Linked DNA regions of Coturnix japonica. The main gene of each other region encodes a partner of the protein of the gene in region 2 in a complex. Links are inferred from orthologs where the notes say so. Each region holds a gene or a part of one and is shown on either strand. Other genes may lie near its edges.

Evidence for each region. The genes of interacting proteins can lie anywhere in the genome.
Region 1: the proteins of E2F1 (region 2) and CCNF are in contact, whole or in part, in a cryo-EM structure (PDB 9CB3), measured with the Homo sapiens proteins. The link is inferred for Coturnix japonica from reciprocal best matches to the Homo sapiens genes E2F1 and CCNF. Residues at the interface, in NP_005216.1 of Homo sapiens: Gly84, Arg85, Pro87, Val88, Lys89, Arg90, Arg91, Leu92, Asp93, Leu94, Glu95, Thr96; in NP_001752.2 of Homo sapiens: Met309, Ile312, Leu313, Asp315, Trp316, Glu319, Val320, Met323, Arg349, Leu352, Gln353, Trp379, Leu380, Thr381, Asp382, Thr384, Asp504, Tyr505, Val508, Leu510, Thr511.

Annotation. Positions count from the first base shown.
Region 1 is NC_029529.1:12,341,347-12,345,537, forward strand, and holds the start of CCNF (cyclin-F), read left to right. Parts: upstream 1-1,391; 5' UTR 1,392-1,570; coding exon 1,571-1,583; intron 1,584-2,828; coding exon 2,829-2,983; intron 2,984-3,241; coding exon 3,242-3,348; intron 3,349-4,183; coding exon 4,184-4,191. UniProt on the Homo sapiens protein: Substrate recognition component of a SCF (SKP1-CUL1-F-box protein) E3 ubiquitin-protein ligase complex which mediates the ubiquitination and subsequent proteasomal degradation of target proteins.
Region 2 is NC_029535.1:1,931,549-1,939,580, forward strand, and holds E2F1 (transcription factor E2F1), read left to right. Parts: upstream 1-3,133; 5' UTR 3,134-3,148; coding exon 3,149-3,340; intron 3,341-3,608; coding exon 3,609-3,699; intron 3,700-3,960; coding exon 3,961-4,180; intron 4,181-4,321; coding exon 4,322-4,474; intron 4,475-4,621; coding exon 4,622-4,736; intron 4,737-4,822; coding exon 4,823-5,015; intron 5,016-5,585; coding exon 5,586-5,833; 3' UTR 5,834-6,744; downstream 6,745-8,032. UniProt on the Homo sapiens protein: Transcription activator that binds DNA cooperatively with DP proteins through the E2 recognition site, 5'-TTTC[CG]CGC-3' found in the promoter region of a number of genes whose products are involved in cell cycle regulation or in DNA replication.

The DNA of each region.
Region 1 (4,191 bases), on a different chromosome or scaffold from region 2:
ATGTGGATGTTCCATCATCAGTCTCCAGAAAGGACAAACCAGGCTGGATTTCATTGCCACTGAAAATCTTCACTATTAACATCACTTTCACAGAAAAGACAGAATATTATTTGGACTAATTTATCGCACTGCATGTCCTTCATCCTTCACAGACCTGCTACCAGCCCTGCAGGTGACATCTACAGGTGTCATTAGCTTCATTCCACATTGAGCCGGGCCCGTTGCTGTTCCAATAGACGAGCAATGCACTTTCAGTATCAAGCACTGGAAGAGCAGCGTTGTGATACAGCTCATCCCCGCCATGGTCTGCAACCTCTGCTGCCAAGAACAGGATCTACCTGGGGAGCTGTGGGTCAAGGAGCTTCTCCTGATGGGATTTAACTCTCCACAGGGAGCTCATTATTCACGTTCTGTTTTCTAGTTCAACTTATTTTTAGTTGACAGAAACAGCTGCGACGGGGAGAACAAGGAACAGAAGCTGACAGTGTGATCAGCACTTCAGCTCACAGCACTGCCCAGTTCAAAAAGATCAATATTCCTTCATTTTTCTGTCATTTTCCATGTCCTGCCGGGCATGTCCGCACTGCAGCACTGCAACCCTCCGGCCCAGACACTGAGCTGCACACTGAGCTGCACACAGAGTTGCACACTGAGATGCACATTGTGTTGCACATTGTGTTGCACATTGTGTTGCACACTGAGTTACACACTGAGCTGCACTGAGCTGCACATTGGGTTGCACATTGTGTTGCACACTGAGTTGCACATTGTGTTGCACACTGAGTTGCACATTGGGCTGCACACTGAGCACACACTGAGCTGCACACTGGGTTGCACATTGAGCACACACTGAGCTGCACATTGGGTTGCACATTGTGTTGCACACTGAGCTGCACATTGGGCTGCACACTGAGTTGCACATTGGGTTGCACAGTGAGTTGCACACTGGGTTGCACACTGGGTTACACACTGAGTTGCACATTGTGTTGCACACTGAGCTGCACACTGGGTTGCACATTGAGCACACACTGAGTGCACACTGTGTTGCACACGGAGCTGTCAGCGCTGCAGCCCCGTTCTCACACGGATGTATCCGGTCCCTCCCGCTCCCACCCGCCATGTCCGCCCGGTCCCGCCGCGCGGTGGCAGCCCGCAGGCCGCTCTCTCCTCACGCATGCGCAGTACCCGCCGCGCTCCAGACCCGCCAACCGCCCCAGTTCGAATTCGCATCCTCGCCGTCCAATGGCGGCGCGCGGGGCGGGGTGGGTCCCACCTCCCGTCATCCTCCCGACCAATCAGGAGCCGCGCTGTGTTTGAAAAGAGCTGCGCGCGCCCTGTGGGCGTGGCTCTGCGGGTCCGTCCCGCGCTGTGGGCGGAGCCAGCGCCGGGTCCCGCCGTGTGTGTGGGCGGGGGCGGCCGCGCCTCGCGCTGGTTCCCGGCCCCGCGCTGAGCCGGGGGGGCGCGGCCTCGTGCGGGAATCGCCGCCCCGTGCGGTATCGCCGCCCCTCACGGCCGCTGAGTTGGGTCGGAGCCGCTTCGGGTGCCGGGTCGGTGCGTTCGGTCCGCGAGGATGAAGGCGGGCGGTGAGTGCGGGCCGCGCGCCTTCCTGCCTCCCTGCCTGCGTTCCTTCGGTCCGCGCGGCTCCTGTGAGCGCTGTGCGGGAGGAGCGGGGTGATGCGGGATGGGGGGGGGCGGCGGGGACATGGAGGGACATGGAGGGACATGGAGGGACATGGAGGGGCGGGGGGAGCCGCAGCGGGGCGGCGGTTCGCCCCGAGACGCGGCAGTGCCGCTCCGTGCCGCTCTATCGGTGCCGCTCTATCGGTGCCGCTCTATCGGTGCCGCTCCGTGCCGCTCTATCGGTGCCGCTCTATCGGTGCCGCTCCGTGCGGGGCCGTGAGCGGTGCCGGGCGCTGTGTGAGCGGTAGGAAGCGCCCCGGGCCGTCCCCGTGCTGCCGATCGCTCTCAGCGCTGTTTGCCGCCCGCGAACCGCCCGGCCCGTCCCTGAGCGCCCCGCTGTGCTGTGGGAGCGGTGACTGACGGTGACTGACGGTGGCTGGGCGCCCATCGCGGCCCGTTGCCTCTCGCCCCGCTGTGTCCGTGCGCTTCGTGCCGGTTCCGCTCATCGTTTGGGTTCCTGCTGTTTGTTGGTTATATTGACTCGGTGTTTGTGGCTCCCGGTGCCGGCGGACCCGGCTGCTCGCGGCGGGTATCGCCCTGTGCCGGCACAACGGATGGGAGCCTCGGGCCGTTCTGTCCCTGCCCGCGTTACTCTGTTCTTCCCGGCCCCCCCTCGTCCCTCGGCTCATTCCCGTCTCTCGGATGTGCTGGGGCTGAGCTCTCAACCCGAACGTTGCTGCAGGGCCGTGCTGTGCGCTGTGAGATGATGGAACTGGCTGTGAGGGGTCTGCCAGCAGCACCGCCCACAGCGATGGGCTTTGGACTCGGGTGGCTCAATGGGCCTTTACCTTCCTAATCCCTCCGGTCACGTTTCAAGGACTGTTATCAATTGATAAGAAGTTGTAGCCTGGGGGAGGTACATGGAAATGCAGCAGTGACAGCTGAGCTCAGTGCAGCCAAACGATGGGGTCAGGGCGATGTGCTCAGTGATGGGGGTGCGCCGTCCCTTCTGGGCACCTGCCTTGAATTGGCTGAACTGAACGAGTCATTTCTTTATGGTTTGGTCCTCCAGTGTCCTGTGCTGCAAGCTGAGTTTCTATGGTTGATGTGCTTGAAGATGCACTCTACTTAATTAAACACACATTCTGTATGCGCCTTTTTCCTCTTGCTGTTCTGTCACTAACCGTGGTGTTGTTTTTGTTCTGCAGTGGTTCACTGCCGCTGTTCCAGGTGCTTCTCTTTCCCTTCCAAGCGAAAGATAAGAAAACGGCCCCGAGTCCTGACGCTGCTGAGTCTGCCTGAGGATGTTCTCCTTCATGTTCTGAAAGACCTTCCCACTGAGGACATCCTCTTGCTCAGAGCAGTGAGTGCCGGCCCCTCCTGCCACGCACTGCCTTAGTTCTGCCCCTGGAGCCAGAAGTGCACAGAGGAATGCCTACATCCAAGGAGCTGTGAGGAGAGCTAGAAAATACATGCAGTGTACAGATATTTGCTGTCCTAGGAAGAGAGTTATGATGAGCTGTGATTAATTAGTTGCCTATCTAAAATTAGATCACCAACTATTTTTTTGCTGATCCCTTTATTTTAATAATAACTTGATGCTTCCCTTCATACCTTGTAGGTGCATTCCCATCTGAAATACCTCGTGGATCATCACGCCGGTGTTTGGGCATGTGCAAGCTTTGAAGACGTATGGCCGTCTCCAAAAAATCTGACGGTGTTTGAAAGGTGAGCTTTAAGCATCAGCATCCCTTTGAGGTTGTAGAGGAGAGTGTTTCGTGCCACATGTACAATTCTAATCAGTCTTCACTGTAAGTGGTGAATCTGACTGTGCTTATTTGTGCAAGTCTCTGTATGGAGTGATGAGGGTAGCTGGCTTTGTGTCTAAGCTGTGAATAATAGCTGCTGCTGTGTTAATTGGAGCAGGGCCTACGGCATACGTGGAAGTTATTCCTCTAAGGGCATTACTGTTACTTGTTTGAATGTAACACATGAACTGAAATCCTGTTACTGGTGCTTCCATATAAACAAGCAAGTGAGATGAAAGACCACAGTTCTAAGTCTTGGTTGTTTTGCTCAAACCGATGTACTGAAAAATAAGTGAAATTGAATATATTAAAGCATGTGCAGAAGGAAAGTGCCTTTTTATCCACCTGATTTGAAGGAGATGGGTTCACATGAATGTCATACTAGTTGTTTTGTTCCTTTCATGTCTGCTCTGATGCATGTATTTTCTTTTTGAAGAAAGGCATTGTCTGAAAATAGATCTGTCAGGCACGTCCCTGAGTGTGCAAGTACCTAAACCTACTTTCTTGCACTGGAGATGTTGCATGGGACTGAGAAACGATTCCTGGAGCTGTCAGATGGTCCTGGGCACAGATGTGGCTTTTCTTGCTGCAATATTTTCATTCATCGTAACTCACTTGTAACTTCTGTAGTGAAGTCAGTTGTGCTTGTGGTTGATGGACAACAAACTCACAGCCAGGCCTTCACTCAAGTAGCTTGTCTGATGTGGAAGCTCCTATTGATTTAATCCTGAAGTATTTTCTCTGTTCCCATTCAGGGCTGCTG
Region 2 (8,032 bases):
ACTTTCATGTCTCTCCTTTCCTTGTGAGGTTGGCGATGAGGAGGGGGAAAACAAATTAAATGCTTTGTAATGCAGGGTTTGTTGCCTTTGCTTTCGGTCTCGCTGTATCTATTTTGGGTCCATAATTGCTGTGTAACCCAGGAGCTGCATCTCAGCTGGTCAAACTGAGGCTGGATGACTGGCAGCGCGTGCAAACTGGATGCACTCAGTGTGAACAGGAATGAACACGGCTGGCTCTTGCATTGCAGTCAATGTGGGCTGATGTGGTTACAGGGCAAACTGCTTGTTGGTGTCTTGCAGCCTATCATTAGCACGTGCAGGTGCTCTCAGTGAGCGTGCGACTGTTCAAGAGGACACGAGCCCCACGTGCATCTCTCCCATTAGCTAAGGAACAGAAGTACACATGCAAATGATCTGAGTGCTGCTTCAGAGCTGAGTTACACAGAGGAGATACGTGGTAGAGGTAAGAGCTGTGGTAATGGAGATAAAGCCCTGAGCAAGAAGATCCCCATGGCATGGGGAGCTGTGGGAGCCCCTTGGGGATGGGAGCACTGAGCAGCCCCAGCATAGAGCTGGCTGCCCAGGGCTGGGAGAAGCCAGACTGACACCTGTGGGCTGATTGCAGCCTTATCTTCCAATGTTTGTTTTTCCTTTCATATCGTACCAAGCCATAATTCCAGGTGAAGCTCTGAGCTGGTGCCTCACCCACCCTCTGGCTTTGCGGTGCCAATGGCTGCGCTGTGCACCTGCTGGGAAGTGAGCTCAGGCTGGGTGAAGTCACAGAGTCCAAGTCACAGTGAGTCCAAGCCCAGTGCTGTACGAAGCTTAAAGCACAGAAGATGTTCTTCCCCAGCCATGCTCCTGGATGGCTCTGGCTCTCTGCAGAAGACATCCTGCCCTATTCTCCCCTTGTAAGCCAGCACACTGGGCTGAAGGCAGCCTGAGAGCCTGGTGGGATGGAGCAGCGTTCAGCAGCTCATTTGGGAGGCAGGCAGTGACTTCTCTGGCTCACAGGGGCTTCACAAGGCTGTCTTGGTTCGGGGGGCGAGCAGCTTCCATGGCCCTGCTGCCCTCACCCTGGGACCGCAGGTTGATACTGAGTTTCAACATTGGATACCACTGTAAAAGAGAAGGAAGTAAAGGAGCTGAACTTGCTCTGTTCAGCATCCAAGGCCATAGCTGGTATCCTGGGGGCAAAATTGCTACTGTAGCGTTCTGTATAGTAATACAACGAAAGGAAGGATTCCTAACTCTTGGGAAGCAGGATCCACTTGTGCCATCTCCCATGTGGAAAAACACCCAAAACGCCGTTCCAACCTGAAAGAAGGCAGGACAACGATGTGGGGTCGGGTCCCTCTGTAGGAATCCAAAGCAGCAGTCTGGGATGCTGAATGTGTCCCAGCAGGAACCCAGGGGCAGTGCTGTGATCAAACCCTCCCTGAGGTCAGAGCAGGGATGGTTTGAGTCCAGATTTGCATCCTCCCAGCTCCCCTGTGTGCTCCCACCACCAGCAGATGACCGTGCGTGGCCTTAGAGACCCACAGGCTGTCCATAATCATGCCCACAAAGGGATAACGTTGGCCAAGCCTGCAGCTTGCAGAGCCCTCTGACCCCCCCCAGCCCAGCAGGAGATGCAGTGCAGCACTGGCAGCTATCAGGGCTCAGCACCCATTGGCAGCTTATCACCACCCGCAGCTGTGCCAGGTGGGATTCATCCGCGGGTGGGGAAAAGCCCCCTTTCCCCCCTCAGCATTTGTCGCAGTGACTGTTTTGCCTTTCATTTGTCTTTGCATCTGCCCTTTTCAAGTGCCACAAGAGCTGAAAGCCTCGGCGAATTGGCACGGGGGAGGTTGGGGGGGGGAGCCCGCTCCCCCTGCATAAACTGCCGTATGAATGAGGGAGGGGGGAATAAAACAAACCCGTGCTGCCCCCAGCTGCCCCGGCCTTTGTGAGCGCGGTGGGAGCAGCTGGTGCCGCAGCTGCCGCTCACAGCCCGCGGCCCCGGAACGGCCCCGCAGCCGGGGCGGGTGGGACCGTGTGTCCGGGCGGGGCGGCACCAACGGGCCGCATCTGGCGTGTAACTGCTGCTCGTACCACTCGCTAACGGGGATATCGCCGTGACCGGGGTGCGGGTTATCGCAAGGGCCGAGCGTTAATTAACAGCGCTCACCGCCGCCAAGCGGAGCGGTGCTGCCGTTCGGTGCTGTGCTGCAGGGCTGGGCCGTGGGCTCCGCAGCCACAGGAAGAACGAGCAGCAAAACACCGCTCAGCGTTCACTACATCCCCGCTGTGAGGCACCGCCCGCACCCAGCGCTAACCCGGCCGTCCCGCTGAGCCCCGCTGCGGCCGCAGCTCCAACTCCGGCCCCGCAGTACCGAGATGGGGGGGTGTTTATGTCCCTGTGGGTTGGGCTCCGTTGGAGGCACATTGAGGTTATCAGCGCCCCGCACACGGGATACAGACGGCGGGAGCCGCCCACGCCACGTCCCGCGGCTTTGACTATGGGCTGCCCTGCCCTGCACCGCCCGCACCGCCACGGACACGCAGCTCAGCCCCGCAGCCCGCACAGCGTCACGGGCAGCTCTAGCCCAGCAGTGCAGGGAGCGCCCGGCGCTCAGACCCGTCTGTGAGTGACCCCACGCGGGACCAGCTCCGCGCCGCCCTCGGCCCCTTTAAGGCCCGGCCGCGCTCCTCACCCACGCGGCGCCACGGCCGCGTCCCCGAGACGCCTCCCGATTGGCTCCTGCCTCAGCTCGGCGGTTCTGATTGGCCGCCTGTCAGCGCGTCCGCCGCCGCCGCCCTTAACCAATGGGCGGCCGGCACCGCCCCTCCCTCCGGCGACCTCGACCAATCAGACGGTTTCCCCGCACCCCCGCCTCAGCGCTCGGCGTTGGGCGCAGCCAATGGGCGGGCGCGGGGAGGTTGGCGCCGCTTTCGCGGCAAAAAGGATTTGGCGCGCAAAGGCGCGCGGGGCCGGAGCGCGGGACAGCCCGGCACAGCCCGGCACGGCCCGGCACGGCCCGGTACAACCCGGAACGGCCCGGAACGACCTGGGGAACGGCCCCGCGGATCGGCCCCGCGCCCGGCAATGGGCCGCGCCCCCGCCCCGGCCGCGGCCCCGCGCCCCGCGCCGCCCGTCACCTGAGCCATGGCTACGGCGGGCGGCGCGGCGGGGCTGGCGGCGCTGCTGGGCGGCTCCTCCCCGCACCTCCTCATCGTCTCGGCCTCCGAGGAGCCCGCGGGCGGCTGCCGCCCCGACGCCGACCTCCTGCTCTTCGCCACGCCGCAGCCCTCCCAGCCCGGCCCCGCGCCGCGCCGCCCCACGCTGGGCCGCCCGCCGGTAACCGCGGGACGGGGGAGGGAGCGGGGCTGAGCGGGGCTGAGCGGGCCGCCGGGCGGGGCCGGGACGTCGCGGTGCCCACGCGGGACCCCCCCCCCCCCCCCCGTCAGAGCCCGGCCGCGCGGGGCACCGCCGCTCCGGAAGCCGCCGCCGAGGCCGCCTTCCGCCCGGCAGCGCCGTTGCGCGGGGCTGCCCCCACAGGCCGGGGCCCGGCCCTGCCGCCGCGGTGCGTTCCGCGTCCCCGCGCTGAGGACGCCCTGTCCCGCAGGTGAAGCGGAAGCTGAACTTGGAGACGGATCACCAGTACATCGCCGACAGCCTGCCCGCCGCCCGCGGCAGGGCCCGCATCCCCGGCAGAGGTACGGCCCCGCTGTGCTGCCGGCCTGAGCCCTTCGGGATGGGCCTCGTCACCTCCCTCTTCCCCTCTGCCACCTGCCGTCCCCGTAGAGCGCTGGGCCCTGCCCGGCTGCTCGCTGTCAGGGCTCAGTCTCGGGGCCCTGCAGCACCATCCCCCGAGCTTCCCATTGCCAGCAGCTGCCGGGTGCTGCTCACCTGCCGGGTGTGGCGGTGCTGGGGCTGCCCCGCGCCCCACGGCTGAATCTTGCACCTGTCCCCAACAGGGGCAAAGTCTCCTGGGGAGAAATCCCGCTATGAAACCTCACTGAACCTCACCACCAAGCGCTTCCTGGAGCTGCTCAGCCAATCCCCCGATGGTGTGGTGGATCTCAACTGGGCGGCCGAGGTGCTGAAGGTGCAGAAGAGGCGCATCTACGACATCACCAATGTCCTGGAGGGCATCCAGCTCATCCGCAAGAAGTCCAAGAACCACATCCAGTGGATGTATGTCCATCAGGGTGGGGGGATAACACCGAAGCTGCCAGGGTTGGGTGGAGGGAGGGAGGTTGGGTTCCACCCTGAGATCGGGAGGTGATGGCAGCAGTGGGGTGTTAGTGCTGGGGGTGACAGCCCTGTGTACCCCAGGGGCAGCCAGGTGGCCGCGGGGGCTTCAAGCCGACAGCAGCTGCTGGAGAAGGAGCTGCGGGATCTGCAGGCGGCAGAACGGCAGCTGGACGAGCTCATCCAGACGTGCACGGTGCAGCTGCGGCTGCTCACCGAGGATCCCTCCAACCAGCAATATCCTTCGGTGCGGGGCCGGGATGGGGCTGGATGGGCTGGAGAGCTGTTGGGGAATGGAGCCCCCCCCTGCTCTGACACTTATGGTCACTGTGTGGGGTTTTGGGTGTGAATGTGGCCCCGTGTCTGCTCCTTGACCCGCCGCACCGCAGCCTACGTCACCTGCCAGGACCTTCGGAGCATTGTGGACCCCTCTGAGCAAATGGTGATGGTTATCAAGGCACCCCCAGAGACCCAGCTGCAAGTCTCAGACCCGGCAGAGGTGAGTGAGGGGTCTCTCCTCCCCATGGATCTTCACAGCCCTCGGTACAACTCCACCTTGGCACTCCATGTCCCTCCTGTCCCCAGGCTTTCCAGGTCTCAGTGAAAAGCACTCAGGGCCCCATCGACGTGTTCCTCTGCCCCGAGGACAGCTCAGGGGTCTGCAGCCCCGTCAAGAGCCCCTTCAAGGCACCTGCTGAGGAGCTGTCCCCTGGCTCATCGCAGCAGAGAGCCTCCCCGCTCCTGCATCCTGCTCAGGATGTCAACATGCTGCTGCCTGGTGAGCAAGGTGGGGATGGGGATGGGAATGGGATGGGAATGGGATGGGAAGGGATGGGATGGGATGGGATGGGATGGGATGGGATGGGATGGGATGGGATGGGATGGGATGGGAATGGAATGGAATGGGGGCACTGCCTGGGCTCTGTGGTGTGGGGACAGTGTTATCACTGTTGTTCCAGTTCCAGGAGCACGAGGTTACAGGGCTGAGGTCTTGGCTGTGTGTTAGGAGGAGCCTGACCTCCATGCTCATGCAGTGCCAAGTAGTTGGACTCAATGATCCTTATGAGCGAGTCCTTTTTAAATTGGGGTATTCTGTGATCCACCCAGCTGTGGGCTCTGCTCCTACCCAAGCTTGGCAGAGACAGCCCTGGATCTTTCTGCTTAGGAAAGGACACTGTCCCTCTTTGTCCCACCACTCAGCAAGTGGTCTGAGTCACGCTGCCCAGTTGGCCTGGATGTTTCTGATCACTCCTGATGCTTTGTGTGCCATCTGCATGGCCTCAGTAGCTTAGAACACAGCAGTTCTGGTGTGTGCTGTGGGGCTGACAGCCTCGCTCTGTCCCCACAGAAGCACTGCTACCAGGCACAGCACTGCCCTCCAAGTGCTCCACAGAGGATGTGAGCCTGTCACCGCTGGCCTCCATGGACACCCTTCTGGAGCAGGCCAAGGACGATTTCTCGGGCTTCCTGGCGGATGAGTTCATTGCCCTGTCACCACCACAGGCACAGGATTACCACTTCGGCCTGGAGGAGGGTGAGGGCATCAGTGAACTCTTTGACTGTGACTTTGGGGACTTCACGCACTTGGACTTCTGAGGCTCTTGTCCTGATTTCAGAAGCTATCCCACTGCCAAGGGGGGGGACGCAGGCAGGGCTGAGGACAGCCACGTGGTGCCCTGTGCCTTGGTGTGGCTCTGGTGCCTTCCTGGGGTCCCTGTGCTGCAGCAGCCCTGGGCCCCCTCCATCCGTCCCCTCTGCAATATTTTCTTCCCTCCTATCCGGCATCTCTGTGCCATGATGGGACAGAGCCCAGCTTGGTGCTTGAGCCCACATTGGGGCCTACTCCTGTCCCAAGAGGAGGATGCTGGGGAGCAAGGGGTCCCCATTGGGTGCCCCCCCACCCACTGCGGGCAGCCATAGGGTGCCCGTGGCAGAGCTTTAAGCAGTCCTGTGTATAGATTGGATTAATTTATTATTGTTCCTTGGGGACAGCGTTTAGTTTCCCAGGAGGGGTCAAGGGGGGGTGGGGGATGTGGTGGTCTGGGGGTGCCGCGAGGTTTCCTTGTGCTGGGAGGGGCCAGCTCTGCGGGGTATTTATTTATTATTTATGCCATGAGGGGCTCTCCCGGGACAGCAGGAGTGGGTGCTGGGGGGGAGATGGTACAGGAGGAGGGTCCCGGCAGGGTATTGCTGGCCCCAGAGCTGCAGGCATCAGATGGCTGCGGGAAGAATGTTGGGGTGGGCTGGGGGTGTCCCCAGGATGTTATGAGGATGGGGAATATGTGGACCCCCATGGCCCAGTGAGGACCAAATGTTGTCTCCAGGCTTTCTCTTTCATTTCCTGCGCAGCCCTTCAGGCTGAGTGCGTTTTGGGTTTGTTTCCTCCTCCCTGGCTCCAAGGGAGGATGGAGGGACCCTGGGGCCAGGCTGGAGCCGCACTTTCACTTACTGCCTTTAACAAGCTTGTGTTCCGCTGAGCTTCGTGTTTAATAAAGGTTTCTACTGACTGTGGCCTTCACTTTGTAACTGGGATGTGAGCAGCCTCAGCACCAGGCAGGTATCCCAGTGTGGGTGCTGGGAGATGAGGGAGTGCCCTTGTGAGACAGTGGCACATGGTAGGAACAGTGGGGACAGTCCTGGAGTGGGGCTGAGGGCAGCTGTGCCCCATCCTGGTGGTGATAAGGGATGAGCCACTTCCTTCCCCTCTTTGTCCGTCACTCCTCTTTCTTTCTGCCTGGCTTCCTGCGTGTTACTTATTTAAACTCTGATAAATATTTTACTCTGGCCTGCGTTGCATAATAACCCCTCTGTTCCTGCTCAGGCTTCAGAGCTGCTTGGAGTTCAGTTTGGGGCTGTGCCCCTTGTGGCCCTGCTGAGGTAGGCACAGTGTCCTCGTGGCTCCTGGGGCTGAGCCATGAGCTGAGTGTGGTTTGAGGGCTGCTTTACCTCTGAGGCTGTGCTGGTCCCTCCTCTGCCCTGTGGAGGTGGTTCTGGAGAAGCTGGTGGCCATGGAGCATCCTCCTCTCCTGCTTACAGAGCAAACAGCCACTGGGGGGGCTGGCTGAGCTCTGAAAGGCCGCAGGTTGCACATACAGGAATCCCTTGTGAAAGTTCAGAGATGTTTGCTGATAAATCAACCCCAGCCTGGATGGACATAGGACATGTAGAGCGAATATTTATCCCCTCCTTGTGTTGGCTGCCTGCAGGGATCCTGCCTGCCTTCTTGCTGGCTGCAGCGTGTGGTGGCAGCACTGCTTTGTCCTGCAACAGCTGACCCACAGCAGCAGTATAGCTCTTACCCAGAGCTGGAGCTGAGCCCTGGGGTACCTGCTTCTTGCAGAGCAGGCACAGATCGTGTCCCCATGTGCATCGACCGCTCCGTGCTGCAAAAATAACTGCCGTGTCCCGGGGATGAGTCACAGTGCAGCTGAAGGGCTTCCCCGATTCTATTCTGGATTGCTGGGGAAGGAGCTGAGAGCTCGTGTAGGAGTTCTTCTTTCTGACGAGCACAAGGGATGCGGCGAATGTTGATCTGCAGCCCCGCAGGGTGGGAGGCAGCTCATGCCCAGCAGTGCATGAGGGGACCCGTAACCAGGGCAGGGCCCACAAGGGACCCCACACCAAAAGAAGCCTCCTGGGGGTCCCTGCTGAGCCCTGCAGCCTTTCTCAGCTCCTTCATCCTCTGGTGATGTCCCAGCTGTGCCCAGTCCATGGCTGCGGCCCCACAGCTGCTGTGTGGTAAATGGGGCCGCACTGTGGGCCTTACTGGGGCCTACACCGGGGCCTTGCTGGGCC